4 linked regions of the Anolis sagrei genome follow. The protein of the gene in region 1 purifies or fractionates together with the protein of each later gene. This does not show direct contact. Links are inferred from orthologs where the notes say so. Each region holds a gene or a part of one and is shown in the gene's direction. Other genes may lie near its edges.

What was found.
Region 2: the proteins of SIN3A (region 1) and SAP130 purify together in Homo sapiens (affinity purification with mass spectrometry; 4 studies listed by BioGRID, with this or other methods). This does not show direct contact. The link is inferred for Anolis sagrei from reciprocal best matches to the Homo sapiens genes SIN3A and SAP130.
Region 3: the proteins of SIN3A (region 1) and CHD3 purify together in Homo sapiens (affinity purification with western blotting; 3 studies listed by BioGRID, with this or other methods). This does not show direct contact. The link is inferred for Anolis sagrei from reciprocal best matches to the Homo sapiens genes SIN3A and CHD3.
Region 4: the proteins of SIN3A (region 1) and NR0B2 purify together in Homo sapiens (affinity purification with western blotting; 3 studies listed by BioGRID). This does not show direct contact. The link is inferred for Anolis sagrei from reciprocal best matches to the Homo sapiens genes SIN3A and NR0B2.

The regions. Positions count from the first base shown.
Region 1 is NC_090029.1:8,581,266-8,588,242, reverse strand, and holds the start of SIN3A (paired amphipathic helix protein Sin3a), read left to right. Parts: upstream 1-3,951; 5' UTR 3,952-3,996; intron 3,997-6,977. UniProt on the Homo sapiens protein: Acts as a transcriptional repressor. Corepressor for REST. Interacts with MXI1 to repress MYC responsive genes and antagonize MYC oncogenic activities. Also interacts with MXD1-MAX heterodimers to repress transcription by tethering SIN3A to DNA.
Region 2 is NC_090023.1:220,772,025-220,779,698, forward strand, and holds the start of SAP130 (histone deacetylase complex subunit SAP130), read left to right. Parts: upstream 1-4,665; 5' UTR 4,666-4,813; intron 4,814-5,322; exon of another isoform or gene 5,323-5,475; intron 5,476-7,674. UniProt on the Homo sapiens protein: Acts as a transcriptional repressor. May function in the assembly and/or enzymatic activity of the mSin3A corepressor complex or in mediating interactions between the complex and other regulatory complexes.
Region 3 is NC_090026.1:6,300,782-6,308,242, forward strand, and holds the start of CHD3 (chromodomain-helicase-DNA-binding protein 3), read left to right. Parts: upstream 1-4,456; 5' UTR 4,457-4,787; coding exon 4,788-5,031; intron 5,032-7,461.
Region 4 is NC_090034.1:72,712,206-72,719,637, forward strand, and holds the start of NR0B2 (nuclear receptor subfamily 0 group B member 2), read left to right. Parts: upstream 1-4,408; 5' UTR 4,409-4,710; coding exon 4,711-5,233; intron 5,234-7,432. UniProt on the Homo sapiens protein: Transcriptional regulator that acts as a negative regulator of receptor-dependent signaling pathways. Specifically inhibits transactivation of the nuclear receptor with which it interacts.

The DNA.
Region 1 (6,977 bases):
TGATGGAATGGGAGAGGCTGTAAAGAAGCCTCTTATTCTTTGCAGGGAGGTTCTCGATATCCCAATGCCATGTGTTTGCCATGGATTCCAGGTGTCCCAGTACAATGGGTTCTAGGTATCCCAACACAACATTATTTTTGCCCCACTTTCCTTCCTTCTGTTGGCTTTTCCTCATTCCTTTTCTATTCCCTGGAGAAGAGAGCAGCATCCGAACCAACCTCAGTAACTTTTTACTGGAAAATAAGCTCTATTGAATGTGCATATTCTTCATTTTTATTTACTACAATCTATTCTCTTTTTTCCTTGTTTTTTTTTAATAAACAAAATATTTAACATTAACTTGATCAAATCCGAATTGGAGATAACTGTAAATGTTCTCAGTTCGCTGTTGTATGGCGACATCCGTTTTTGTTTCGGGGTTTTGTTTTTTTGTTTTGTATTTACGGAAATAAAGTATACAGACAACTCACCATTTCCGGATGTGTCGAATGTACCTTTTCTATCCAATCAAAGCTTCTTGTTCCTTGTTTCTTTTTTTATTTCCTCCTCTCTTCTTTCACTTCTTTTTTCCCCTTCTCTTTATTGTGGCAGTGCCTTTTATATTATAAATATAAATATTATAAAATAATAATATATATAATTATAATAAATAAAGCAGTGCGATTTCCAATGTGGCCTCAAGAGGGCGGCATAGAGGCACATTTTATCTGCTTTGATCAAGGGTGCAGTTTTCACTGTGTCCACTGGGAGCGCCAAAGAGTTCCAAACAGTTTAGAAAAGGGATTATTATTAAATAAAATAATAATAATAATTAATTTACAAATTCCCACTAGGTGTACATTTATTTATCTATATCCCAATTTAGCTCTCCATACAGATACTCAAAGCGGCTCACAATCAAAAACATTAGAACCTCAAATATACAATAATAAAACAATATTGCATATATTATCAATAGTAATTATATTTACTATATTTGTTTTACTATATTATATATATTGTATTAGTATATTGTATTACATTATAATCCCAATATATGTATATACAATATATTAGCATACTACAATATTAGTATATATTACTATATACTAATATATATAATATATATATTATATATATATAATATAATATTATATATATAATTATATTATACCAATACACACACACACATATATATATATACACATATACACACACACGTGTCAGGACTGACTTGAGAAAATGCAAGTCACTTCTGGTATGAGAATTGGCCATCTGCAAGGACGTTGCCCGGATGTTTTGATTTTTTACCATCCTTGTGGGAGGCTTCTCTCATGTCCCCACATGTGGAGCTGGAGCTGACAGAGGGAGCTCATCCGCACTCTTCCCGGATTCGAACCTGCGACCTGTCGGTCTTCAGTCCTGTTGCCACAGAGGTTTAAGCCATTATATATATTATTATATATATTGTATTACATTATAATATCAATATTATACATACAATATTTTAGCATAGCACAATATTAGTATTATATATTGCTATATTGTACTATACCACTATACTGAAATATTATTAGCAATATTACATGTAAGATATACAGTTGTCATATATTATTATATTTTATTATATTATTATACCACAATATATAAAATACACTGTCAGTATATGGAGCCTCCTGTGGTGCTGAGCTGCTGAACTTGCTGTCCGAAAGGTTGCAGGTTTGAATCTGGGGAGTGGGGTGAGCTCCTGCTGTTAGCCCCAGATTCTGCCAACCTAGCAGTTCTATCTACCTTTCTATCTATTTATCTTTCTATCTAGCTATCTATCCTTGATTTCTTTCTATTAATCCATCTATCTAGCCTTTCTGTCTATCTTTCTATTTATCTATCTATCTAGCTTTCTATCCATCTTTCTATCAATCCTATCTATCCATCTTTCTATTTATCTTTCTATCTATCCATCTATCTACCTATCTAGCGCTCTTTCTATCTTTCTATTTATCTTTCTATCTATTCATCTATATATCTATCCATCTTTCTATTATCTTTCTATCTAGCTATCTATCCTTGATTTCTTTCTATTTATCTATCTAGTTATTTTCTATCTGTCTAGCTTTCTTTCTTTCTATTTATCCATCTATCTTTGTATCCATCTTATCTATTTATCTACCTTTCTATCTATCTTTCTATCTTGATTTCTTTCTATTTATCTAGCCTTCTATCTATCTATCCATCTATCTATCTATCTATCTATCTTGATTTCTACCTTTCTTCCTTTCTATCTATCCATTCATCTATCCATCCATCCATCTATTTGTGTACCTATCTATCTAGCTTTCTATCTTACTATTCATCTATCTATCCATCTTACTATCTGTCCATCCATCTTTCTCTCTCTCTCTCTATCTATCCATCTTTCTACCTGACTATCTATCTATCTATCTATCTACCTATCCATCCATCCATCCATCTAGCTTTCTATCTTTCTATCTATCCATCTATCTCTCTGTCCATCTACCTAACCTATCTATCAATCCATCCATTTTTCTATCTATCAGTCCATCTATTTATTTATCTATCCTATCTATCTACCTATCTAGATTTCTTTATCTTTCTGTCTGTCTGTCTTTCTTTCTTACTGTCTATCTATCTATCTACCTATCTATCTATCTATCTATCTATCTATAAGGTAAAGGTAAAGGTAGTCCCCTGACATTAAGTCCAGTCATGTCTGACTCTGGGGTGTGGTGCTCATCTCCATTTCTAAGCCAAAGAGCCAGCATTGTCCGTAGACACCTCCAAGGTCATGTGGCCGGCATGACTGCATGGAGCAAAGTTACCTTCCCGCCAGAGCGGTACCTATTGATCTACTCACATTTGCATGTTTTCGAACTGCTAGGTTGGCAGAAGCTAGAGCTGACAGCGGAAGCTCACGCCGCTCCCCGGAATCGAACCTACAACCTTTCGATCAACAAGCTCAGCAGCTCAGTGCTTTAACCCACTGCGCCACCGGGGGCTCCATCTATCTATATCTATCTTGATTTCTATCTATCTTCCTATCTATCTATCTTTCTTCCTTTCTATCTATCTTTCCATCCATCTAGCTTTCTATGTAGCTTTCTATCTTTCTATCTATCTATCCTATCTATCTATTTATTTTATTTATTATTTATTTATTTCTTGCATTTATTAACCGCCGCTCTCAGCCCTAGGGCGACTCGTGGCGGTGTACAATACAAAGAAGACACTTTACAAAGCAATCAGGACAACAAACTAACATCACTAATACACAACATTTAAATTACACTAAAAATCCGCTGCGTCATATTATGGAATCATAATCAATCTCGTAGTCGTAAATTCATTCCGGTTGTCATTTCCAGTAACATAGCACTCAGTTGAAAGCCTGCTCGAAGAGCCACGTCTTCAGGCCCTTATGAAAGGCCATGAGGGAGGGCGCCTGTCTGATGTCAGCAGGGAGGGAGTTCCACAGCTGGGGGGCCAACACCGAGAAGGCCCTCTCTCTCGTCCCCGCCAGACGTGCCTGTGAGGCAGGCGGGATCCTTCTATCTACCTACCTACCTATCTAGCTTTCTTTCTATCTTGCTATCCATCTATCTATCTGTCCATCTTTCTATCTTGATTTCTACCTACCTATCCATCCATCCATCCATCTAGCTATCTTTCTATCTGTCCATCTGTCTGTCCATCTATCCAACCTATCTATCTATCCATCCATCCATCTATCAGTCCATCTATCTTTCTATCTATCCTATCTATTTATCTACCTTTCTATCTATCTTGATTTCTTTATCTATCTATCCATCCATCTATCTTTCTATCTATCCATCTTGCTATCTAGTTCTCTCTAGCTTCCCAAAAACCCACTAGACGAAGGGGGCGTGGCTTCCCCCCGCCCCGCCCCGCCCACGGCTGTGACGCACTCCCCTCCCCCCAGCCAATCCCCTTCGAGGGGCGTTCCTTCCCCATTCAGGAATCCTGGCTGGGCTTGGCAAGGTAGGCAACAGCTGCTTCCCCATTGAGGATGCTCACGTTGCTTCCTGATTGGGCGGCTGGCTTGTTTTCCTTGATCTCCAGGGGGGAGATTTTTGGGGGGACTGTTTGGGGGAGGGAGATGGGGAAGGATCCACTCGATCCCTGTTGTTTGTGGCTCTCCAGTCTGGGGATCCCATTGCATTGGGCCATAGCATCATATAGATCAGGCATGGGCCTGATCTATAGAGATCCCGAGGCAGGGAGTTCCACAGGTCAACAGGAACTGTTTTTCCCATAGCATCATATAGATCAGGCATGGGCCAACTTGGGCCCTCCCTCCAGGTGTTTTGGACTGCAACTCCCACCATTCCTAACAGCCGGTAGGCTGTTAGGAATGGTGGGAGTTGGAGTCCAAAACACCTGGAGGGTGGGCTCATGCCTGATCTATATGATGCTATGGGAAAAACAGTCCCTGTTGACCTGTGGAACTCCCTGCCTCGGGATCTCTAAGATCTATATGATGCTATGGGAAAAACCAGTTCCTGTTGACCTATGGAGCTCCCTGCCTCAGGATCTCTAAGATCTATATGATGCTATGGGGAAAAAACAGTTCCTGTTGACCTATGGAGCTCCCTGCCTCAGGATCTCTAAGATCTATATGATGCTATGGGGAAAAAACAGTTCCTGTTGACCTGCGGAACTCCCTGCCTCAGGATCTCTAAGATAATACATTCATGCACGGCATAAAAGGTCTTCCCTGTCAGCTATTACTTATATGAACCATGCATCATCGCCTCTGGCGTAGTGTTACATGTTCATGAATTTACTAGATGCGTCTACACTGCAATTTTAACACAGTTTCGACCCCACTCAGACTGCCCAGGCTCAAGACTATGAGGTGCTCGGAGTTTCGCCTTCCCTGTCCAAAGGTTGGGTTGAGAAATAATTCGGCTTTGGAGTTGCATCGGAAACCTGTGGGTCAGTTGTTTCATACATATACATACATACATACATATATATATAGCAAACACGTATGTATACACTGCATATTCCTATATATGTTTATTTATTTATTACATATACACACACACAACGCACATAAATAAATGCATATATCATATCTATATATATGTATATAGCTGCACATGCACAAATATACAAACATACATCTCCCATATTAATATACACATATATATACATACCTCTCCCATGTATACATACACACACACACATATACACTGCATGTATACACTGCATACTGGCATCTTCCTATATATGTTTATTTATTTATTACATATACACACACACAACGCACATAAATAAATGCATATGTCTCTCATATCTATATATATGTATATAGCTGCACATGCACAAATATACAAACATACATCTCCCATATTCATACACACACATATATATACATACCTCTCCCATGTATACATACACACACACACACACACATACACTGCATGTATACACTGCATACTGGCATCTTCCTATATATGTTTATTTATTTATTACATCTACACACACACAACGCACATAAATAAATGCATATATCTCTCATATCTATATATATGTATATAGCTGCACATGCACAAATATACAAACATACATCTCCCATATTCATATACACACATATATATACGTACCTCTCTCATGTATTCATACACAAACACACATATATAAATATAAAATAATAAAATTTATACTCTGCCACCATCTCCCCAGAGGGGACTCGGGGCGGCTATCTCTTATATATATACACATACCTCTCCCATATATATATATATATATATATATATATATACACACACACACACACACATACATACATACATACATATACATACACACACACACATGCATCTACTATATATACATATACATACACATCTCCTCTCTCTATATATAAACATATATGCATACACACATATATACACACACATTTCCCATACATACATACACATCTCCCATATATATATACACACATATATACATATATATAGACTTCCCATATACACACATCTATCTCCAAGACACCTATACACATACACATCTCCTATATATATATATAGACACACACACACATATGTATACCCACACATGCATACATACATACATCCCTCATATATAGATATACATACATCTGCCAGGATTCCATAGCCTTGAGCCATAGCGGTTAAAGTGGGGTCAAACTGCATTAATCTCACAGTGTAGAAGGATTGGCTAGTCCTCACTTCCTTGATCTATACTGTTACTGTCATATAACATCATATATTTAGTTTGGCTTAATAGGCTCTGTGTGTGTAATATACATGTAGACACACAGTTTTGGAAGTATACGACTTCAAACTGACTTCATTTGGATGTATGTATGTATGTATGTATGTATGTATATGTAGTCCGCACTTGTGGTTTGGAAGTATATGTGTCTTCAAGTCACTGGTCAACTAAATAGGTTATGAATTCTGTATATAATGTATTCTACATTTAAGTGTATGTGTATATGTGTATGTATGTGTGTGTGTATATATGTGTGTGTTTATGTGTATGTATGTATATATATATATACATATATATAGTCAAGCTGATTGTCAACTTAATAGGTTGTGTTGTATATATCATGTATTCTACATTTAAGTGTATGTGTATATGTGTATGTATGTGTGTATATATGTGTGTGTTTATGTGTGTGTGTGTGTGTGTGTATATACATATATATATTCAAGCTGATTGTCAACTTAATAGGTTGAGTTGTATATATAATGTATTCTACATGTAAGTGTATGTGTATATGTGTATGTATGTGTGTGTATATGTGTGCGCGTGTGTGTATTCAAGCCGATTGTCAACTTAATACGTTGTGTTGTATATATAATGTATTCTACATTTAAGTGTATGTGTGCGTGTGTATATATGTATATATAATCAAGCCGATTATCAAATTAATATGTTGTGCGTTGTGTATATAATATATTCTACATTTAAGTGTATGTGTA
Region 2 (7,674 bases), on another chromosome or scaffold:
GTACTTTTCTTCCTCCAGAAAGGATCTCTCTTGATATTCTCTCTCCTATATGCTGCAACACTTACTTGTCTGAATGCATCTCCCACTACGTCCCGCCTTGAAGTTTAAGATCATAGGGGAGACCCTGCTCTTGCTCCCGCCAGCGTTGCAAATACATCTGGCGGGGAAAAGAGACAGGGACTTCTTGGCTGTAGCCCCCCACCTGTGGAACTCGCTTCCCAACGAGGTAAGCTCAGCATCATCCCTCCCGTCTTTTAGGAAGAAATTGAAGTCGTGGTTCTGGGACCAAGCTTTTGGACAGCAGGGATAAAAATAGCGCTTTGGATGTGGAATATGATTGGAATGGTGATACGGCAGTTAATACTGTTTTTATTGTTTTAATTAAAATCCTATTTATTGTTTTAATTCTTGTTATATTGACTTCACTTCACTTTATTTCTTAATTAGTCGCTCTCCACCAAGGTGCTCCGAGCGACTTACAATTTAAAATATAATTTAATACACAATATAAAAACATTCAACATAAAAACATACAACAGAGACTATTTGGCACATTAGATCTGATTAGATATTTAATGGCATCAAACTGTATCAAATGTAAGCCTTTGTGTTGGAAAACCTTTGTGTTGGAAAAGGTCATTAAAGATACTGAAGGTAGATTCATAATGATAATAGGTAAAATTAACAATACTCAGGTATCAATAGCAAGTGTCTATGCCCCAAATCAGAAACAAGTAAAATTTATAAACAAAACTTGCTCAAAAATAGAAAAGCATGCAATAGGAGATATAATAGTCGGTGGGGACCTAAATTTACAATTGTACAAAAAAACGAAGAGTAATAGAACTGGAAATTCAGGTACAAATTGTAAGATAAATTTCAGTAAGTGGAACTTAATAGAGGCCAACAATAGAATAGGGGAACGAGCAGATACCCCAACACACTACTCACATAGGCACTCAACATTTTCTACCATAGACTATTTCCTGGTGGGTATCAACAACACAATGCCAATAAAAGAACTTTTGGTGGGCAATTATTGGCCAGGAGACCATGCACCTCTCTACTTAAAATTAGGAAATTATACCATAAACAAAGTGAAAAAATGGAGATTTAACCCAAAAGTTGCTTATAAAGAGTCAGACAGGAAAGAGATAAATGAACAAATTATTCAGTATTTTAACTTAAACAGAACCCCTGGAATGAAAGAAAACATAGTTTGGGATGCTTTCAAGGCAGTAATTAGAGGAAAGTGTATAACAATCGAGAAGGGAATAAATAAAAGAGAAAATGAAAGATTAAGGAAATTGAGGTCTGAAGTAGAAGAAGCGTTCCAATCATTTCAAAAAGACCAAACAGTGGGGGGGAAAAAGAGATGGATAGAGTTAAATAAACAACTAGAAAACCTGGAGGAAATTGAAAGTACAAAGAAATATATCTGGGTCAAGAACGACTTTCAGACAAACTCCATAAATAACACAAAGAAATTAGCAAATTTCCTAAAAAAGAAACAAGGGAAAACAAAAATCTTTAATTTGAAAGACGAGATGGGCCAAATAAAAACAAGTGAGGAGGACCTAAAGGAAATAATGGCCAATTACTACGAAAAGCTGTACACAAGTAAGGATACAGTGAAATCGGAAGGACTACTCCAAAAAAAATTAGACCCTCTATCCCAAGCAACACTGGACAGGATCATCACTAGCAATGAAATAGAGGAGGTAATAAAGAAATTAAAAATAAACTCTTCACCAGGCCCCGATGGGCTCACTACAAATTTCTATAAAATTTTTCAAAAGGAAGTCACCCCTAATTTACTAATACTATATAATGAAATCATGGAAAATAAACTAATTCCAGAAACATGGAAAAAATCCGAAATTACAACAATTTTAAAACCAAACAAAGAGGGGACTGACCCCAACTCATATAGGCCTATTACTTTATGCAACGTGGACTACAAAATTTTCACAAAAATAATAGCTAATAGGCTGAAAGAGGTAATACCCACTCTAATTGAGGAAGATCAATACGGCTTTACTATAAAAAGAAAGATAGCGGACCCAATTAGAAATATCATAAATATAATTGACCATGCAACTAGAGAGAAAACAAAATTACTCCTAATAAAATTAGATGTTTACAAAGCATTCGATACAATAAATCATAATTATTTGGCTAACTTATGCGAGGAGAGTAACTTAGGAAAAAAGATATGTGGAGTAATTAAGGAACTGTATAAAGATAATCTAGCTGAAGTGATAGTAAACGGATCCAATTCTAGAACTATTGAAATCAAAAGCGGAACCAAACAAGGTTGCCCTCTTTCCCCCCTTCTCTTTGCACTAGCGATAGAACCTTTTGCTAATCTAATCAGATCAAACAAAAACATAAAAGGATATAAGATAGATAAAGAAGAAATAAAAATAAATTTGTATGCAGACGACGCAGTAGTCCTCATAGGTTCAATGGAGAATTCGGTAATTGAAGTAACGAAAGAAATTAAAAAATTTGAAAAGATCTCAGGCTTAACAATTAATATTGAAAAATCAGAAATCCTACCTAAAAACATGAACTGGAAGGAGGTGAAAGAAGTCCAATCTATTCTAGGGGTCAAACTGGGGGAAAAGAAGTTAAAATACTTAGGAGTGTATATACCTAAAAATCTAAATAACATAATTCAGATAAATTATAACCAACTATGGAAGAAAATAAGCAAACAGATTAACAATTGGAAAAAATGGAATTGGGATATAACAACAAGGGTGAAGACATATAAAATGATGATACTGCCCAAATTTTTGTACTTATTTCAATGCCTTCCATGTAGCATTCCTCCCAAAATAATAAAGAAATGGGATAACTCAATTAAAACATGGGTAGTAGGCTCTAGTAAAACCAGAATTGCAAATTCAATTTTTTATACTCCACAAGAAAATGGAGGTTGGGGAGCACCTTGCCTCCAGAACTATTACGAAGCCTGTCAATTGGTTAGGTTACTTGAATTAGATATCGGTGAGCCCAAAAGATGGGTTAGGTTAGAGAAATTAACAAACGGGTGGGAATATGGATCTTGCATTATGGGGAAAATTGGGGGGAAAGAACTAAAAAACATAAAAGGAGGCCCCTTGTCATTAACAATGACTTGTTGGGGAAAATGGCAAAATAAACTCCCAGTAAATAAAATAGACAAGCTCCCAATAGGTTCCTTAGACAACAGAAAACCCCAGCTATATCGCAACATTCTAAAGAAACTGGAACAAAACGGAATAACAAAGATTGAGGACTTACTAAAACCAGACGGGACTGTAATTCAATGGGAGGAAATAAAAGATAAATGCGGGCATGGAAATTGGTTACAATGGGGAGGGCTGTCTAAAAAGCTAATAGAATTGAAGAATAAGGAAACCTCAGAAACAAATCTCGACAAAATAATAAAATGGAAAGTAGAGAGGGAGAAAGGAATCATGGGATTTATATATAACACAATCACCGAAATACAATACAACACAAAATCTACCCTAATAGAAGTCTGGAAGGAGGAATTAAGTTGCAGTGAGAGAGAAATAGACAATTGGATTAATTCAATCAATAAAATAAAACACCTAAAGATTAAAGAAATGCAACGAAAAATATTGACAAAATGGTACAGAACTCCTGTGCAACTGGCGCATATCACAAAAACGTGCCCAAAATTATGTTGGCACAACTGTGGTAAAATAGGAACATATGCCCACATGTGGTGGGAATGTGAAAAAATCCAAAAGTTCCAAGAAATAATCAGGAAAGAAATGGAGGAGCTATTAGGGATCAAGATAGAATGGAATAAGGCCCAATTTTTCACTCAGAAATTCGAAAATAAAGAGGAATATAAGGAAAGTGAGGAAATAATAAAACATATGATAGAGGGAATTAAAGCCTCAGTGGCCCTGGGCTGGAAAGACCACAAGAAATGGGATACAAAAACCTGGTACAAATATTTAGCAGATTACCTTCTTCAAGATTATATTAGCGAAAGGAAAAGTTACTATATGACGGGTCAAAGCAAAAAGACATGGAAAGCAAAATGGAAGGGTCTCATATATAGAATAAAGGGGAAAGATAAATATACGGTGTTGAACAAAACTATTCTCATGATTGAACAATTGTAATAAACACAGTTAAAGTATCTATTTGTTCCCGGGGGGGGGGGGGGTGTGCTGGTGGCGGGATTGGGGAAAAAACTGGTATTTTGAATGTTATTTTCAAAGATGGAATGTTTCTATGTATTATACAATAGTAATAATAAAATTTAAAAAAAAATGTAAGCCGCCCTGAGTCCTCCTTCGCGGGTTGAGAAGGATGGGGTAGAAATGCTGGAAATAAATCAATGCTCTCTTACTGCTCCCAGTCTGTTTTCCCGCCATCTCTATATGAAGCAGAGAAACTGCTTCTCCCTCCAAAGCCATTCACAAAGAAGCCAACCAATCAGGGCCTCGGTAGGCGGAGAGAACACACAAGCGTCCCGCCCCCTTCCGAGGGACCAATAGCACTCTTTCTGCTCCAACTAGCGTCTCGCGACATCACCCTAATCCAGGCTCAGATCTCGAACTCCAACTCCCAGGAGCCCCTTCGCGACCAGCGTTCTGACCAATCGCCGCCTCCCGCCACAGTGGGCGGAACTAGCCGGGAGCCAATCAGCGAGAAGCGGGGAGGGGTGCGTCGCTGCGGCAGCGGAAGCAACACTCCCGGACTGAGCCCCCGCGCGGTGTCAGCCCCGAAAGCGGCGCTGGGGGCTTTCGTGAGGGAGATTCCGCCGCAACTCCGGCTGCAGGTAACTGGCCGGGGGAGGGACGCGCTTCGGAGGCAGGGCTCCGTAGAGAGGCGCCCGCCAGCCAGCGCTGGAGAAGACAAGCCGGAGTGGCGCGCACCTCCTCTTCGAGGCCTCGATTGCTTCAGAGTGCGTTCGCGGTCGCTTTTTTATCCTCGCCCAACATCCGGGTCCCCGGCCTTGCGCGTCTGTTTCACATAGTGATCAGGGAGGAGAAGGGAGGCGGGACAACGAGCCATCGCCCGCCTCCTCATTGGCTGTTTACAGGCTTCCTCATTGGCTGGGAGGGCCTTCTCCATTCTGTGTTGGATTGGCCAGATGTAGAGAGAAGTCGACTTGCCATTGGAGGAGGGGCGGGGTTTACACATTAGCCCGTGGGCGGGGCCTGTTGCTTGGTAGGCTGTGTTCGCCCCTGCGCTGGATTGGCTAGGCGGGAGGAGAGGCTTGCTTCCCATTGGTCGCCGCGGGAGTGGGGGCTGGGCTAGCATAGGCTCGAATGGGCGGGGCTTGCGCCGAGATCCAGAGCTCCGGAGACGCCCCTGCTCGATGCCTTCGCTCTTGCGGCCGGATTTGGCACCCAAAGCCTCCTGATCGCAGCTGCCGCCAGAGAAGAAAGTTAGACGGGGCCGAAATGTGAGGACAGCAGCTGATCCTGGGCAACGAAGGTGGGATTAGCGGGATCAGCAAGAGGGGCGTCTGCACTGTCCAGTTAATGCAGTTCGCCAACACTTGAGCTGCCCTGATTTAGTGCCTCGGAATGATGGGGGTCTTTAGCCTTCTCTGCACCGAGCCGTGGCAGCTCAAGCGGGGTCAAACCGCATTAATTATTCAGTGTAGAGGCTCCCCACGATCGTTGGGAGTTCCGTCTGCGTTGGAATGGAGAATGGGGGGTGGAAAGAGCCCTTCGGTGCATCTCTATTGTAGAATTATTGCAGTTTGATACCACCTTAATTGCCACGGTTCAATGCTACATAATCACGGGAGTTGTAGTTTTGCAGGGTCTTTAGCCAACTCTGCCAAAGAATGTCCGTTTCTCACCAAACTACAACTCCCAGGATTCCACAAACTACAACTCCCAGAATGCCACGAACTACAACTCCCAGGATTCCACAGCATTGAGCCTTAGCTCTTAAAGTGGTGCCAAAATTTATTAATTCCTTTGCTCTCTGCCAAAGAGTGTCCGTTTCTCACCAAACTACAACTCCCAGAATGCCACAAACTACAACTCCCAGGATTCCACAGCATTGAGTCATAACAGTTAAAGTGCTGCCAAATTTCATTAATTCCTTTGCATAGGAATGATGACTATGTGGCCATTGAGACTGATCAGTTGCAGCGCCTGTCGTTTCTTAACTGCCTTAAGTATTTTTGGGGGGAGATAAATCGAATAATCGCTGAGTTGCTGTGAGTTTTCTGGGCTGTCTGGCCATGTTCCAGAATGTCATTGAAAGCCATTGAAATCCACAAGCATGTGGACAGTTGCAACAGAAAGGAGGAAACCATGAAAATGAAGGAAATCTGATTTACCAGTATTAAAAAAACTCTAAGGGCAGTAAATAAAGAACAACACTCAGAAAACAGGAGAATTCCAGACAAGAATAAATTGGAGCCAGTTAACACCTCCAGACAAAGCATTCCCCCAGGCAGCAACCAGGCAAGCTTTGAAGGCCATTCAATGCTAATCAAAGTGGCCAATAGCTACATTTGCTCTTGCCTCAAACAGACAAGAGTTCTTTCTCCCACCCTGGACATCCCACAGATATATAAACCCCACTTCCCTAGTTTCCAGCAGACCTTACAACCTTTGAGGATGCCTGCCATTGATGTACATGAAACGTCAGGACAGAATGCTTCTGGAACATTTATTTATTTATTTGCGACATTTATATTCTGCCCTTCTCACCCCGAAGGGGACTCAGAGCGGCTTACAAGATAGATACGTACATACAATACATTATACCATTAGCACAGTACAATATCAGCACTATACATCACGATATTGTACTATACAATTATATTGTAATATTATTAGTAATATTACATGTAATATAAAATATATAATTATAATATCATATTATTAGTAGTAGTATTATACTGTATTACATTATAATATTCTAAATGTATGGAACATGGCCATACAGCCTGGAAAACTCACAGCAACCCAGTGATTCCGGCCATGAAATTCTTTGGCAACACATCAAGTAATAGCTACTCATGAAAGCCAACATGGTGTAGTGGTTTGAGCATTGGACTGTGACTCTGGATACTCAAATGTAACTCAGACATGGAAACCCACTTGGGGTGTGCAAGTCACACACTCTGAATCTCATAAGAGGGCAAAGACAAACTTTCACAGAACAAATCTTGCTAAGGAAGGTTCATGATAAGTTCATCTTAGGATCAGAAATAATTTCGAGGCATAGAGATGCTAGAGATGGGCAAAAAAGCTCTTCCACAGGGAAAAGTGGAGCAACAGCACCCCCACCCTGGTGGCAGAACCAAGCACAGATGCAGAAGATATATACCTCTATCTATGTTAGTGGTTCCCAGCCTGTAGGTCCCCATGTGTTTTGGCCTACAGCTCCCAGAAATCCCATCCAGTTTACCAACTGTTAGGATTTCTGGGAGTTGAAGGCCAAAACTGTATTCTATGTACAGTTGTCTGTCTTGTCAGTGTATAACTGCATTGAATGTTTGCCATATATGTGTTCTACGATCCACTCTTAGTCCCCTTTGGAATGAGAAGGGCGGAATATAAACACTAAATAAATAAATTAGTAATATTGAAAAATATGTTGTATATTTAGCTGTGATGGAGCCTAATAAAATATTCTGATTTAGGAACATAGTATACATGTCTGCCC
Region 3 (7,461 bases), on another chromosome or scaffold:
GGAGCCAGAGGAGTGATAGAATATAAAAAAAATCAGATTCCCAATGGTTGCCCCTTAATCAATCACAGCTTTGTTGTAAATCCATCAGATAATTTTGCCAAGAGGTAGAATGGTTTATCCAGGCAAGTTTTCTGAATGCTGGAAGTTGGCAATGATATTCATAAACTGCCTTGGGTCAAGGGAAGCATTTGCACTTGTTCTCAATGAAAATGTGCAATTCCCACCTTTCTGCAGGCTGTTGTACACTTTTTGTGTGCAATTCGCATCCTTCAGCCATATTGTACTCAGCAGGGAAAAGCCTTGAAATATTCTCCCCCTTAAGCCAAACAGCAACAGTTCCCTTGAGAGAAGAGTAGACTCATGGTGTAATGTGCAACACATCTTTGACCATCTCGAAAGACAAGATGCTGTTAGTTGAACTGTGGGAATAAAAACACACACACACCATTATAATAATGCGATAGATTCCTTGATGGGATTCTTGATGCTGACTGCATTGTGAAGAAGCATCAAAGGCAGGCAAGAGACTGAAGGAAAAAGATGTTTTCCTTTTTGCAGACTGCTCCCTTGAGCAATGAGGACCAAGCCAGAAAAAGCAAAGGTCAAGATTCAAAAAGGGGTTTCCCTTAGTGGGAAAAGTTGGTTTTTTTCTCCAGTTCTCGCGGCTTTGTTTTGAACCAATGAGTAATATAATGCTTCCAAACTGATTGCATTCCAGGCTTGAAATCAGAGGATGCTGCAACCAGTTTCATCTTTCTCCTTTCCACCAGGAAGAGAAAAATGCCTGGAAATTGCATTTTAAAAGGTTTTGATAGCACAAAGCCTCCCAAGCTCTTCCTTCGAGCACTGACTTCCAGCACTGCCAGGGAAATGTTTCAACGTGAGTGAATGGGTCTGGCGCCCAAGCTCCTGGAGGGCTTCAGAGGGTGTTGCGTTAAATATAAAAGCCACATGGGGGATAACGTTCATTTGGCAAGCTCTTTCTCCTGCAGGCACAGTGACTCCTCTGTGGACACTTAGAACTAGTCTATGGGGAGGATCGGCTCAGGCTGAACATGTTCACTAAAGAACAACCATGCATTGGCTTTGATTTCTTCCCATCCTGGCCAACCTTTTAAAAAGAGCGCACCATTGCTGCAATCCCACTGTCTTCACTGGGAATTATTAGGATGTGATAAGATATAATAGAAGGACATTTATTCAGAAAAGATTATTTTGAAATTTATCGCTTTTTTATCCAAGTAATGGAGAGACCGTCATATGTCAATAGGCGATTTGAAAGCACATACGTGTCCTCAATATGTGACATCATTTTTTAATTCCTTCAAAGTTAAAATGGAAGCATATTTGCCAATTTATGTCCTCAAAGATAGGGTTCAACTTTGGTTCATTACTGTGTACCTTGAAGTCAATTTGCAGTTTTGGTGACCCCAGGGCAGCCTTATTGTATAACTGTCTCAACAAGATGATGGTTTGACTCAATTGGTCTACCTTTACTTGAAACTACCAATAGGACTGAAGCCTGTGTATTGAAGATATTCTAAATTCCAAAACATACAGGACTTTAAAAAAAAAGAACTGAGAATAGAGAAACATGCATATACTGAAAATCTTATGCATACTATCTCTGACACAAAACATTAATCCTTAACATAGCTATTGTCCTAAATGGGACTACTCCAGAATAATGGTACTCACTGTTTATAGATAATATGTTGGTGAGATCATCTTTCAACAACATGATATTTAGGACCACAAATATTTTTTCCTTTCATATAAGGAAAGGAACGTAGGCCAGGTTAAAAAAAAAGGAAGAAAAGGAAGCACAGCAAAGGAAAATACTGAAATGTTAGCACTATTGATCAGTGTTACAATCTTCAGTAGTAATTTTTGAAATTCGCAATTTAAGCATGCTTTTTAATGTTAATGAAATAATAATTGTATTTATTTATTTAATTTGTCTGCCACCTTTCTCCCAGTGGGAACTAATCCAACTCCTAAAGAGACTAAATAAAAAAATCCTATGTCATCAAAAAATAGTCCCAAATTTGCTGGAAAGAACATGTTTCCTTTTTTAAACCCATGTTAGATACTACGAAAGAAGCTATAGTAGAGAAGCTGGGCCTTTTAAAGCTGGATCTGCACTGCCATATAATGCATTTTTGGAAGGTGGATTAACTGCATTGTACTGGATTATATGAGTCTACACTGCCATTATATCCTTGGCCATTCTGGTTGTGATTAATGGGTGGCTAGAGTCCAAGAAATACATGGAGAGCCACAGGTTATGTAATACTGACACCCTCTGTTACTTGCTGTATTGGTAGGATGGCAAGCCATGCTTTACTCAGATTTGGCAGACACTAAAGTGAAAAAAGAATGTGAATAATCCAGATTTAAACAGCAAAACAAGGGCTCCTTAATGTTTCCTTACGCTTCTGGAACACATTCCTGTCACCAGGGGTCAAGACCTCTTCTCTGTGGCCACAAATGAAAACTTATGCTTCAAACTCACATGATGAATGTGATTTTCCTTATTCTTGGCAGGGGGTTGGACTGGATGGCCCACGAGGTGTCTTCGAACTCTATGATTCTATAACTCACTAAAAATAAGGCTCATTGATATGAAATCACAGCGGCTGTCTAAAATATTATAATAGCCTCATTTTTAATATTTGTTTCCCTTTAGTGTTGTTTTTACAGTTATGAAATGAGGTGAAGCCAGTTATGGGTCATTATTATTATTATTAAACTATATTTGTACCCCGCTAGCATCTCCCAAAGGACTCGATGCGGCTTACAAAGGTCGAGGCCTCAACATAACAACAACATAAAACAATACAACTCAAAGCATATCAAAAACATAAAGCAATATCAACAAAACATTACATCATAAACAGTAAAACCAAGGCCGAGCCAAGTAGTGGGTACAGATTAAAAAAGTGCTGGGTGTGATAGGCGGCATATTGGATTTCAGGGCATGTGCAATGTGCAGAGGATCTTAAAACTCTAATAAAGTGCTTCTAGGACATAGTGCTGAAGTTTCCTATTCCGGGAAGGCACATCGGAACAGCCAGGTCTTCAAGCTCTTTCTAAAGCCTGCCAACGTGGGTGCTAATCTGATGTCTTTGGGGAGGGTGTTCCAAAGTCGGGGGGCAACCACAGAAAAGGCCCTATCCCTCGTCCCCACCAACCGCGCTTGCGACGCCGGTGGGATCGCGAGCATGTTCAAGAAGTGTGTGTATGTATATATGGGTGTGTGTGTATGCATGGTATTTTTGGTTTCAGTTGAATTTAACCCTGGGCTGGATTTTGTGGTCAAAATTATTCCTAAAATCTCTTTGGTGAGAAAAAAAACCCAGCTGGGAACAAAGAGATTTGGAAAGACTTCACTTGAATTTGATCTTAATTTTTTTTATGCTATAAACAAAACCTTTCTATTTTTATTTTTTAAAAGAACAATATATATATACCTTAAAGGGGGGTATGAATTATTATCAGAATTGACTCCTCAAAAATCATTTCTGTATACACTCTCCTTTATGTGAATAGGATCTTATGTAAAAAATCTCCTTATGTGAATAGGATCTTATAATAAATTGCAGTAATCAGTGTTTTTTTTCTCCCTCCCCTCTCTTTCTGTTCTTCCTTTCTTGCCCTGGAGGAGAAAAAAAGGAGAGAAATAAACCACTCCCTTCTGAAGTATTTAAAGTTAGAGAGAGAGAGAAAAAGAGAAAGGAGGGGGGAGATGGAAATAAAACACCCCCTATTCTTTCTCCTTTGAATGCTGGTAAAGCAAGACACACACATAACAAAAGTCACAGTCTGACTGACTAGTATGGAACTAGTTAACCTTTAACAATTTTATGCTGATGTCATAACTGAGCATGAGTACTGATTAATCCAACCTTTTCTCTTTCTCTCTCTCTCTTCCCCCTCCCTATAAAAAATATTTTTATTGAGGGAGGGGGGGGGGAGGGAGAGCATAAGGAGGGAAAAGGGGGGGGGGGAGAAAAAGAAATAATTTAGAGCAGCCATCTTTGTTTTATGCAGAAATCTTGTCAGTTTCCCCCCAGTGCCAGGAATGTCTAAATATTGTTCATGATCACACAGATCTTAAGAGGAGATTGGGGGGGAAAGAAAGAAAGAAAGGAAGGGAAAAAAAGAGAAAGAGAAAGAGAAGGAAATATAGCCAAGAGCAAGAAGAAGAAGAAAAGAAGCTTTTGTTTTTAATTTTTAAAATTTGGAGCTGATTTTTTTTTTATTTTGGAAAGGGGGGGAAATCTTTCTTATTCTTTTTTTTTAACCCTGAGGGGGTTAAAAAGGCAGCCATTTTTTTAAAGATATATATAAAGAAGGGGGGAGTTATATATATACATATATACCTCCTGAGGAAGAAAAAAAGGGAGGGATTGAACAGAAAGGGGGGGAAAGAGGGGGGGCATTTTTGTTTTAAAAATAATTTAAAGGCGGCCATTTTTGTTGCTTCTTCTTCTGGTGGGAAAAAATAATTATTATCCCTCAGAATTTAAATATTATATTAATTTTTTTTAGAGAAAGAAAGGACCATATCCAATTAGGAGATATGCTGGATTGTTTTTTTAAAAGACTTAATGATTATAAATTGGATTTTTAATTCTTTTTGAAGCAACCTGAGAAGAAAAGAGGAGGAAGAAGGGGGGGTCGTGCCCCCTCCCCCTATTTTTTCTCAATCAATCCATTTTTTTTGCTATTTTCCTTCCTTTCTTTCTTGTTTTTCTATTTTTTTTCTCTCCCTCAGCGCCACCATGGCTTCTCCTCTGAGGGAAGAGGACGAGGAGGAGGAGGAGATGGTGGTGTCTGAGGCGGAGGGCGACGAGGACGGCGACGAGGAGGAGGAAGAGGAGGAGGAGGAAGAAGGAGAAGAAGCAGGAGAAGAAGAAGCCAGGAGGGAGGACAACAACAACAGCAGCAGCAGTTGCCCGGGCGGCGCCGCCGACATCTTCCCTCCCGCAGCACCAGCCTTGCCGCCACAACCGCCGCCTCCGCCAGGTAAACATCAACAAAGCTTCTCCCTCTGGCTCTCTCTCTTAAGTAGGGGGTTTTGGCGCCAAAACTGCCCCAGTCCTAATCTCCCCAGCAACAAGGGGACAAACAAAATCTGCCCCGGTTACTGAGAGAAAGGGGGCGCTGTGATTGGTGGGGGCTGTTTGTCAACAGCCAACGGCTTTCGAACGCTGAGCGGCCGAAGGTTCCAAACCGACCGTTGAGGGACCCGCCGTTCCGTCCCCCCGACACTCCCCCCTCCGCGCGCTTCTCTTCCCCCTTCCCCTCACCCCCCTCCCCCCCACTTGGCCTCCCCCACTCCCACCTTTTGACCTCCTCCGGGGATGGCCTCACCCGCCACCGGGTGGCTTTCGACGCTGTGGTGGCTTGGTCTTGAAATATTTGGGGTTTTCCTCTCCCTCCCAAGGGGGTGGTGGTCCCGTCCGAGGCAACAGCCGCTTCTTCACTTCTTTAAGCGACTCCTCATTTCCACTCAGAGGTTCCCAAGAGTTGCCAGGCTCTCCTTCTGAGCCTCCAAGAGTTCTCAGTTTCTGCCTGCTAAAAGTCTCAGGCCCCTTCCACAGAGCTGAATGAAATCCCATATTTTCTGCTTTGAACTGGACTATATGGCAGTGTGGACTCAGATAACCCAATTGAAAGCAGATATTGTGGATTATCTGCCTTGATATTGTGGATTATCTGCCTTGATATTCTGGGTAATATGACTCTGTGGAAGGGCCCTCAGGGTCCAGGCAACGTTGGGCAAACTTCAGCCCTCTAGGTGTTTTGGACTTCAACTCCCACAATTCTAGAACTTGCTAAGGGCCCTTCCACACAACCCTATATCCCAGAATATCAAGGCAGAAAATCCCACAATGTCTACTTTGAACTGGGTTATCCACACTGAGATAATGTGGGATTTTCTGCCTTGATATTCTGGGATATAGGGCTGTGTGAAAGGCCCAGAGGGCCCTTCCACACAACCCTTTATTCCATAGTATCAAGGTAGAAAATCCCACATTATAAGTGTGGACTCAGATAACCCATTTCAAAGCAGACATTATGGGATTTTCCGCCTTGATATTCTGGGATATAGGGCTGTATGGAAGGGCCCTTAGTAAGTTCTAGAATTGTGGGAGTTGAAGGCCAAAACACCTGGAGGACTGAAGTTTGCCCATGCCTAGTTTGACCTGTCAAGCAGGCCTTGAGATGGAGAGGGAAGCCTCCTCTTTTGGACAGGAATCTGTCTTATGTCAGACCCCTTCTATGCAGCTGTATCAAAGCCACACTGAACTGGATTATACGGCAGATAACCCAGTTCAAAGCAGATATTGTGGATTATCTGCCTTGATATTTTGGGTTATACGACTGTGGAAGGGCCCTCAGGATCCAGGCAACAGTGGGCCCATCCACACACTAGGAATGGGCAAACTTCAGCCCTCTTGGTGTTTTGGACTTCAACTCCCACAATTTCAGAACTTGCTAAGGGCCCTTCCACACAGCCCTATGCCCCAGAATATCAAGGCAGGAAATCCCACAATGTCCGCTTTGAACTGGGTTACCTGAGTCCACACTCAGATAATAAGAAACTTTATTATTATTATTATTATTATTATTATTATTATTATTATTATTATACACTTTATTTGTATTATTTATAATGTGGGTTTTCGATATTTTCTACCTTGATAAAATCCCACATTTTTTTCTTTGAACTGGATTATATGGCAGTGTGGACTCACAACCGAGTTCAAAGCAGATATGGTGGGATTTTCTTCCTTGATATTCTGGTTTATATGTGTGGATGGGCCCTCGGGGTCCAGGTAACAGTGTGGACTCAGGGCCATGCCATACAGCCATATCACTCAGGCCCTGCCACACAGCCCTATATTCCAGAATATCAAGGCAGAAAATCCCACATTATCTGCTTTGAACTGGGTTATCTGAGTCCACACTCAGATAATGTGGGATTTTCCACTTTAATATTCTGGGATATAGGGCTGTGTGGAAGGCCCAGAGGGCCCTTCCACACAGCTGTATAAAATCCCACATTTTCTTCTTTGAAGTGATTATATGGCAGTGTGGACTCATAACCCAGTTCAAAGCAGATATGGCAGGATTTTCCGCCTCGATATTCTGGATTATATGACTCTGTGGGAGGGCCCTCAGGGTCCAGGTAACAGTGTGGACTCAGGGCCTTGTCATACAGCCATATAAATGGCACATTTTCTTCTTTGAAGTGTATTATATGGCAGTGTGGACTTATAACCCAGTTCAAAGCAGATATGGTGGGATTTTCTGCCCTGATACTCTGGATTATATGACTCTGTGGGAGGGTCCAGGCAACAATGTGAACTCAGAGCCCTTTCACACAGTCCTATATCCCAGAATATTAAGGCAGAAAATCCCACAATGTCTGCTTTATACCAGGTTATC
Region 4 (7,432 bases), on another chromosome or scaffold:
GGAAGTCTGACGTGGCCACGGTGGTCCACGCTTTGGTTACATCCCGTTTAGATTACTGCAACGCTCTCTACGTGGGGTTGCCTATGAAGACTGCCTGGAAGCTCCAACTAGTCCAACGAGCGGCAGCCAGAATGCTAACACGAGCAGGATACAGGGAGCATACTACTCCTCTGTTGCGCCAGCTCCACTGGCTGCCAATTAGCTTCCGAGCACAATTCAAAGTGCTGGTGTTAACCTATAAAGCCCTAAACGACTCCGGCCCAGTTTACCTGTCCGAACGTATTCTCCCCTATGAACCATCTAGGTTGTTAAGATAGTCTGGAGGGGCCCTGCTCTCGGTCCCACCGGCCTCTCAGGCGTGTCTGGTGGGGACGAGGGACAGGGCCTTCTCGGTGGTGGCCCCATGACTCTGGAACTCTTTCCCACTGGAGATCAGAACTGCCCCCTCCATTCTGTCGTTCAGAAAACGGGTGAAAACCTGTCTATGGGGTTTGGCTTTCGACGAGTGAATCAATATTTCTGTGATCGGATAGATGACGATGAATGATGGACAACAAATTCACTATGACGACTGACCATTGTTATTATGTGATTGCATTTTGCTATTATAACGTTTTAATTGAATATGCCATATGATGTTTTTAATGATTGTTTTGTGATTTTATTGTTGGAAACCGAGTCCCCCGATAGAGGGGAGAAGACCGGTATACAAAATTGCTAAATAATAAAATAAATAAATAAATATACCGTACCCAATTGTCACATGCTGTCTTGACATGACATCCTCTCCATAAACTGAAATGATTTCGCAATGAATTGCAGTGGCATTCATGCATTTAGGTAGCATATTACAGCACAAGCTTCGCACTTGGAGGGAAACGGAATGAGGATGCTCATCTCTAACCTTCACCACAATGCCAGTCAATGAGCTACTGACGACTGGCACTGCTCGTTCACTCCCGCTTGCTTCCTGCTACACAGCAGTGATACCAACTTTCCCTGAGAAAATTCTCCATGAGAGCTACATGCTAAGTGCTAAGTGCCTGGATAAAAAGTTAAAGGGGAAAAACTTAGACAAAAGAGGGGATTGGATAAAGGTTGGAATGAAGAAGGAAATGGTTATGGAAGAATTTAGAGAAATAGAATTGACATGGTTCCATTGTATACAATTAGAACAATGGTTTAAAAATTGGGGAAAAAATAATAAAAACAGAAGTAAGCTTAACCAATTTGAACAAATAATACAAAATGGAAGGGTTGTAGAGAAGCATGAAAATTTGAAAGGAGTAACTAGTAAAGTATATAAGATAATTGAAATAAAGAAAGGAAAAACAAAAAATTACACCTGCAAGGAGGTTTGGGAAGAAGATTTAGGGATAAAAATAAATGAAACAGTGGCAACAATTATGGAGACAAAGACATCTAAAAATGTATCAATATGGGTTAAAGAAAATTATTATAAGCTAATATGGAAATGGTACCTAACACCAGTAAGAATAGCAAATATAAATAAAAACTATTCAAAAAATTGCTGGAGAGGATGTCAAGAATCAGGAACATATATACATATGTGGTGGCAATGTAAATATGTAAATAATGTTTGGGGGAAAGTATTTAGAGAAATAGAAGATATAATGAACATTAAAATAGAAAGAAGTCCTAGTATAGCTTTATTATCATTATATAATAATAAACAATTTAAAAAAGAGGATAAAGATGCGATAACGAATTTATTAACAATAGCAAGATTGCTTATAGCAAGGAATTGGAAAAGAGAAATAAATATACAAACAGAGGAGTGGTACAAGGAAGTATGGAAATTGGCAATAAATGCTAAGCTGACATGTATTTTAAAAGTTAAAAGGGGTATATGGAAACAAAGTGATTTTGATGGAGAAAATTTATTGAAAAGGATTGAAAAATAAAGAAGGAAAGTTACCTCCACAAGAAGAATTGAAATTTTGGACAGATGATATGTAAAAGCCGTGGCTTTGGGGGGGGGGGGGAGTACAGCGGTGAGGGTTAGAAAATACTTATAAGCAGAAAAATAATACGAGATGCCAAAAGTTAAAGCATGGTAGGTTGTATTGAATAATATTTATCTGCTGTAAAACAAACACTGTATAACAAATGTATTGAATCATGATAAAATAATAAAAATATAAAAAAGAGGAGCCATCTTCCATGATGTGATGAGTCAAAGCTTAGTATTTTCAAAACATAAGAATCCCATCTTAATACACTATGCATCCAGAAATATGGTGTGGTGTGGGTGAGTGTGTGTGTATAGTATATCCCAATACGATAAGGTCCTAAGAGAGCCTTTGGAAAGGACTGTATAAGGGTTACTTACTTACTTACTTAGGCGATCCCTCGTAGTCCGAGGATGATGGTCCTCCAAGTTCGGTGTCCTGGCGGTGGGTCCGTAGGTGACTGTGGAGCCCTATTCTTGATCTGCATCTTCTTTCGCAGTGAGGGCATTGGTTTCCAGGTGGAAGGCGGTCTCAGTTGGGGTTAGCTTGACGCGCCTTCCTCTTGGCACATTTCTCTTTCACCCGCCATTCGTGCCTCTTCAAATTCTGCAGCACTGCTGGTCACAGCTGACCTCCAGCTGGAGCACTCAAAGGCCAGGGCTTCCCAGTTCTCAGTGTCTATGCCAGAGTTTTTGAGGTTGGCTTTGAGCCCATCTTTAAATCTCTTTTCCTGCCCACCAACATTCCGTTTTCTGTTCTTGAGTTCGGAGTAGAGCAACTGCTTTGGGATACGGTGGTTGGGCATCCGGACAATGTGGCCAGTCCAGCAGAGTTGATGGCGGAGGACCATCTCTTCAATGCTGGTGGTCTTTGCTTCTTCCAGCACACTGACATTTGTCCGCTTGTCTTCCCAAGATATTTGCAGGATTTTTTCGGAGACAGCGCTGATGGAATCGTTCCAGGAGTTGCATGTGATGTCTGTAGACAGTCCATGTTTCACAGGCATATAGCAGGGTTGGGAGGACAATAGCTTTATAAACAAGCACCTTGGTCTCCCTATGGATGTCCTGGTCCTCAAACACTCCCTGCTTCATTCGGAAAAATGCTGCACTCGCAGAGCTCAGGTGGTGGTGTATTTCAGTGTCGATGTTGACTTTGGTGGAGAGGTGGCTGCCAAGGTAGCGGAAATGGTCAACATTTTCTAGTGTTACCCCATGAAGCTGTATCTCTGGCATTGGAGAGGGGTTGGCTGGTGACAGCTGGAACAGCACTTTGGTTTTCTCGATGTTTAATGGCAGGCCGAGCTTCTCATATGCTTCTGTGAAGGTGTTTAGAGTGGTTTGTAGATCTTTTGAATGTGCACAGAGGATGTTGTCATCAGCATACTGGAGTTCTATAACAGATGTTGTAACCTTTGTTTTGGCTTTCAGTCTGCTGAGGTTAAACAGCCTGCCATCTGTCCGATAGATGATTTCCACTCTGGTGGGAAGCTTCCCATCAACAAGATGGGAAGCTTCCCACCTTCCATCTTCATCTCATAGCGATGAAGATGGAGAATAAAGTTGGGGTAATATAAGGGTAAAAAGCTGTTAACAGCATTGCAAGTGGTAGTTTCACTATGCTCTATGCTGCCAGTCTTTTACAACATTTTTCCCCTGCTGGAAGTTGCAAGCTTTCCTTTTTTTCTCTCTCCTGATCTGAGAACAGGCCATTGACCCCATTCCTGTGTGCTTTATGACCATTCACTGACTGCAGGGCTCCCTGTCGTGGTGCACCGGTGTGTCACGCCTTGTCATTTCACAAATCTTTGAAAGGCCTTGATTGTTCACTGGCTCTTACGGCTGGCACTCAACTAACTTTCCTCCTATTGTGTAATTTTATGTGTAAGACCTGATCTGTGCAAATCTGATTATCATATCTTCGGTTCATTGATTAATGGGGTGCAATGTGATCACCTGTTGGATCAAAATCCAGGAGAAATAGGGGAGACAGAAACAGGTGCATGCAGTTTTGCATAAAAGGAAGAGGTGTAGCCACTGTAGTATGTGTATTCTTCAGTAGAAGCCTCATAATACTTGGTCTGTTAGGTGTTTTTGGTCTCCCCACCCTTTCTTCATTATCAGCAAAGAGCAACTGTCTGAGTTAAACAAACAACTCACAGATAAATTGACTTCCAGGTTGCTGGTTCCAAGGCTAAATCTTTATGAGCTGTTTTGCCACTGGGCTGTCTTTCTTGGGCTGTAAATGGAGTGTGTCTGTGTACATACTCCTTGGCAGTGACCCCGGCCATATCCTGAAACCTGATTACACACCTGAAGCCTTGGTGCCTTGGTACAGGCTGGGTTAATGACTTTGTTTATACTGATAAGGACAATTGAGATAAATGTAGTCCCCTGGGTCTCCTGGCCCCGGCTGGCACCTTCATTGAGAAAACCTTTCTCCGGGCCACGTGAAGTCTCCGTTTCTCCCCAGCCAATTGGTTCAGGGTTGACTTGTTTTTCAATGAGCCGGTGGCTGCTTGTCAAAGGGAGGTCAAGGCTGCTAGTGGGGGTGGTTTCCAATCATCCCTTCAGGGGCCTTATAAGTGAAGCTGGGAAACGGCAGCTACAGAAAAGACGGGAGAAACTGTGGAGTGAGCAAAAGGTGTGGTAGGACCAAGACAGTTGCCAAGCCACCTGTATAGGGAAAGCGTTTGCTTTTCAGATAGCGGTTCCTTACGTTCTTCTCCAACCTGATCATGGAGTGCGAAAAGTGCCCGTGGCACCATGAAGAAAACCAGAACGCCATCCTCTACACCCTCCTGAGCCAGAACTTGAGCCCCAACAGGAGCAGCGCTGGCTTTTCCCAACAGAGCTGCATGTGCCACAAGCGCCGCACGGTCTGCCTCCGGACCCCTCAAGTGACCTGCCAGGCAGCCTCTGATGTCTTGGTGAAGACCATCACCTTTGTGAAGAACCTGCCGTCCTTCCAGCTACTGCCCTGGGATGACCAGCTCCTGCTGCTAGATAGCTGCTGGGCACCTCTCTTCCTTCTGGGGCTGGTCCAGGAGATGGTGACCTTTGAGGTGATGGAGACCCCTGCCCCCAGCATGCTGGAGAGGATCCTCCTCGATGGGCCCTGCAAGAGGCAAGAGCCGCAGAGGACACAGCCCACACTGGCCAGTGTGCAGCGGCTACAGTGCTGCTTGAACTCTTTCTATAGCCTGGACCTGAGCCCTAAAGAATATGCCTATCTGAAAGGCGCCATTCTTTTCAACCCTGGTAAGTCCTGCTTGAACCCATGTGCAGTAAGAAGGTCTGTGAGAAACGGGCCAGCTTTTCATAAAAAATAGGAGGGAAGAGGAAAGCCAGTATGGTGTAGAGCAGCATTTCTCAGACTTCCTAATGCCACGATCCCTGAGTACAGTTCCTCATGTTGTGGTGACCCCCAATCATATTATTATTTTTGTGTCAAGAGTGCCATGAGAAACTAAATTGTTTCTGATGTGAGAGAATTGACCATCTCAAGGACATTGCCCAGGGTACACACCAGGGTGTTTGATGTTTTACCATCCTTGTGGAAGGCTTCTCTCATGTCCCCGCATTGGGAGCTGGAGCTGACAGATGGAGTTTATCCGCACTCTCCCCAGATTCAAACCTCCAACCTGCCAGCAGAAGGGTTTAACCCACTGTGCTACCGAGGGCTCCATTATTTTAGTTGCTGCTTCATAACTGTGATTTTTGCTACTGTTATGAATCATAATGTAAATATCTCATATGCAGGATGTATTTTCGTTCACTGGAACAAATTTGGCACAAATCCCCAATACACCCAAATTTGAAAGTTTGGGGGGTCGATTTTGTTGTTTGGCAGTTATAGTTGCTGGGATTTATAGTTCACCTGCAATCAAAAGAGCATTCTGAACTCCATGAACTATGGCATTGAACTAAACTTGGCACACAGAACTCCCATGACCAACAGAAAATACTGAAAGGGTTTGGTGGGCATTGACCTTGAGTTTTGGAGTTGTAGTTCACCTACACCCAGAGAGCACTGTGGACTCAAACAATGATGGATCAGGACCAACCTTGGCACGAATATGCAATATGCCCAAATGGGAACACTGGTGGAGTATGTGGAAAATAGACTTCGACATTTGGGAGTTGTAGTTGCTGGGATTTATAGTTCACATACAATCAAAGAGCATTCTGAACTCCACCAACGATGGGATTGTCACACAGAACTGCCATGACCAACAGAAAGTACTGTGTTTTCTGATGGTCTTTGGTAACCCCTCATGAGCCCCCCAGGGGTACCAACCTTCATAAGGCTCACATTTATTTATCTTGCAATTTTGTTGATGAAAAATTATAGGACAGCTTTACTAGAGTAACAGCAAACCGTAACAGGTGTCACCCCTGCAGGATGAGATATTGATAAAGGTGTGCCGTTACAAGTGACCTGTAGAAAAAAGATACCAGGTGGTACATCAATGGCAATGTTGGTTGTAATTTCTGATATCCAGAGCATGAGCAATCATGTTCTGATTACAAGTCCCATAATATCTGGTTGGAGTTGTAAGCTAAAGTATTATTGCAGCCTCCCGTTAGGAAAGAGATTATGCCAGGTATGGGCAAACCCAGGTCTGGGGTCGGATGTGGCCCCTTGCGCTGTTTTCTTAGGTTGTGTCACTATCCTATCCTTCCTTCCTTCTCGCTTTCCTTCCTCCTTCTCTTCCTTACCTCCCTCTTTCTCCATCCCTTCAACCCTGTTGTCCTTCCTTCCTTTCCTTCCTCTCCCCCTTTCTCCTTCCTGTTGTCTGTCCTTCCTTCTCTCTTTCCCCCCTCCCCTCCCTCCATTCCCTCTTCCTTCCCTTCCTCCCTTTCTTTCTTCTCTTTTTCCTTCTTCCTTTCCCTATTGAGGATATTGAACTGGGAGAAGAGAAGGTAGAGAGGGAACATGAGAACCATGTTTCAAGATTTCAAAGGGTCTCCCATTGAAGAGGAGGGGAAAACTGACTTTCTGCTGCTCTAGAGACCAGGGCACAAGGGAGCAATGGTTTCAAATGGCAGGGAAAGAGATTTGACTGAAAAGCTGAGGAAGAACTTCCTGTGAGTAAGAGCTGTTAGAGAGTGGTGTAGGCTACCTAGGAGTGTGGTGGAGTCTCCTTCTCTGGAGGCTTTTCCGCAGAGTCTATCAGGAGTGCTTTGATTGTGCTTCCCTGCATGGCAAAGGGTTGGACTGGATGGCTCTTGGGGTTCTCTTCCAGCTCTAGGATTCTATATCAGGAGTAGGCAATAGGGGTCCCATGGATACACATTTTCTCTCCTGTCCACCATCTCATCCTGACCAAGGCCAACCCTTTTGGGATCCAAACATTTCCTGTTTTTCCTTCACTTTCTGCCTCTGAAAGAGAAGAGGAAGGGGAGGAAAGGGTAGGGAGGAGACTTGGGGGAGAACCCCCTTCCTCCCAGCTCGCC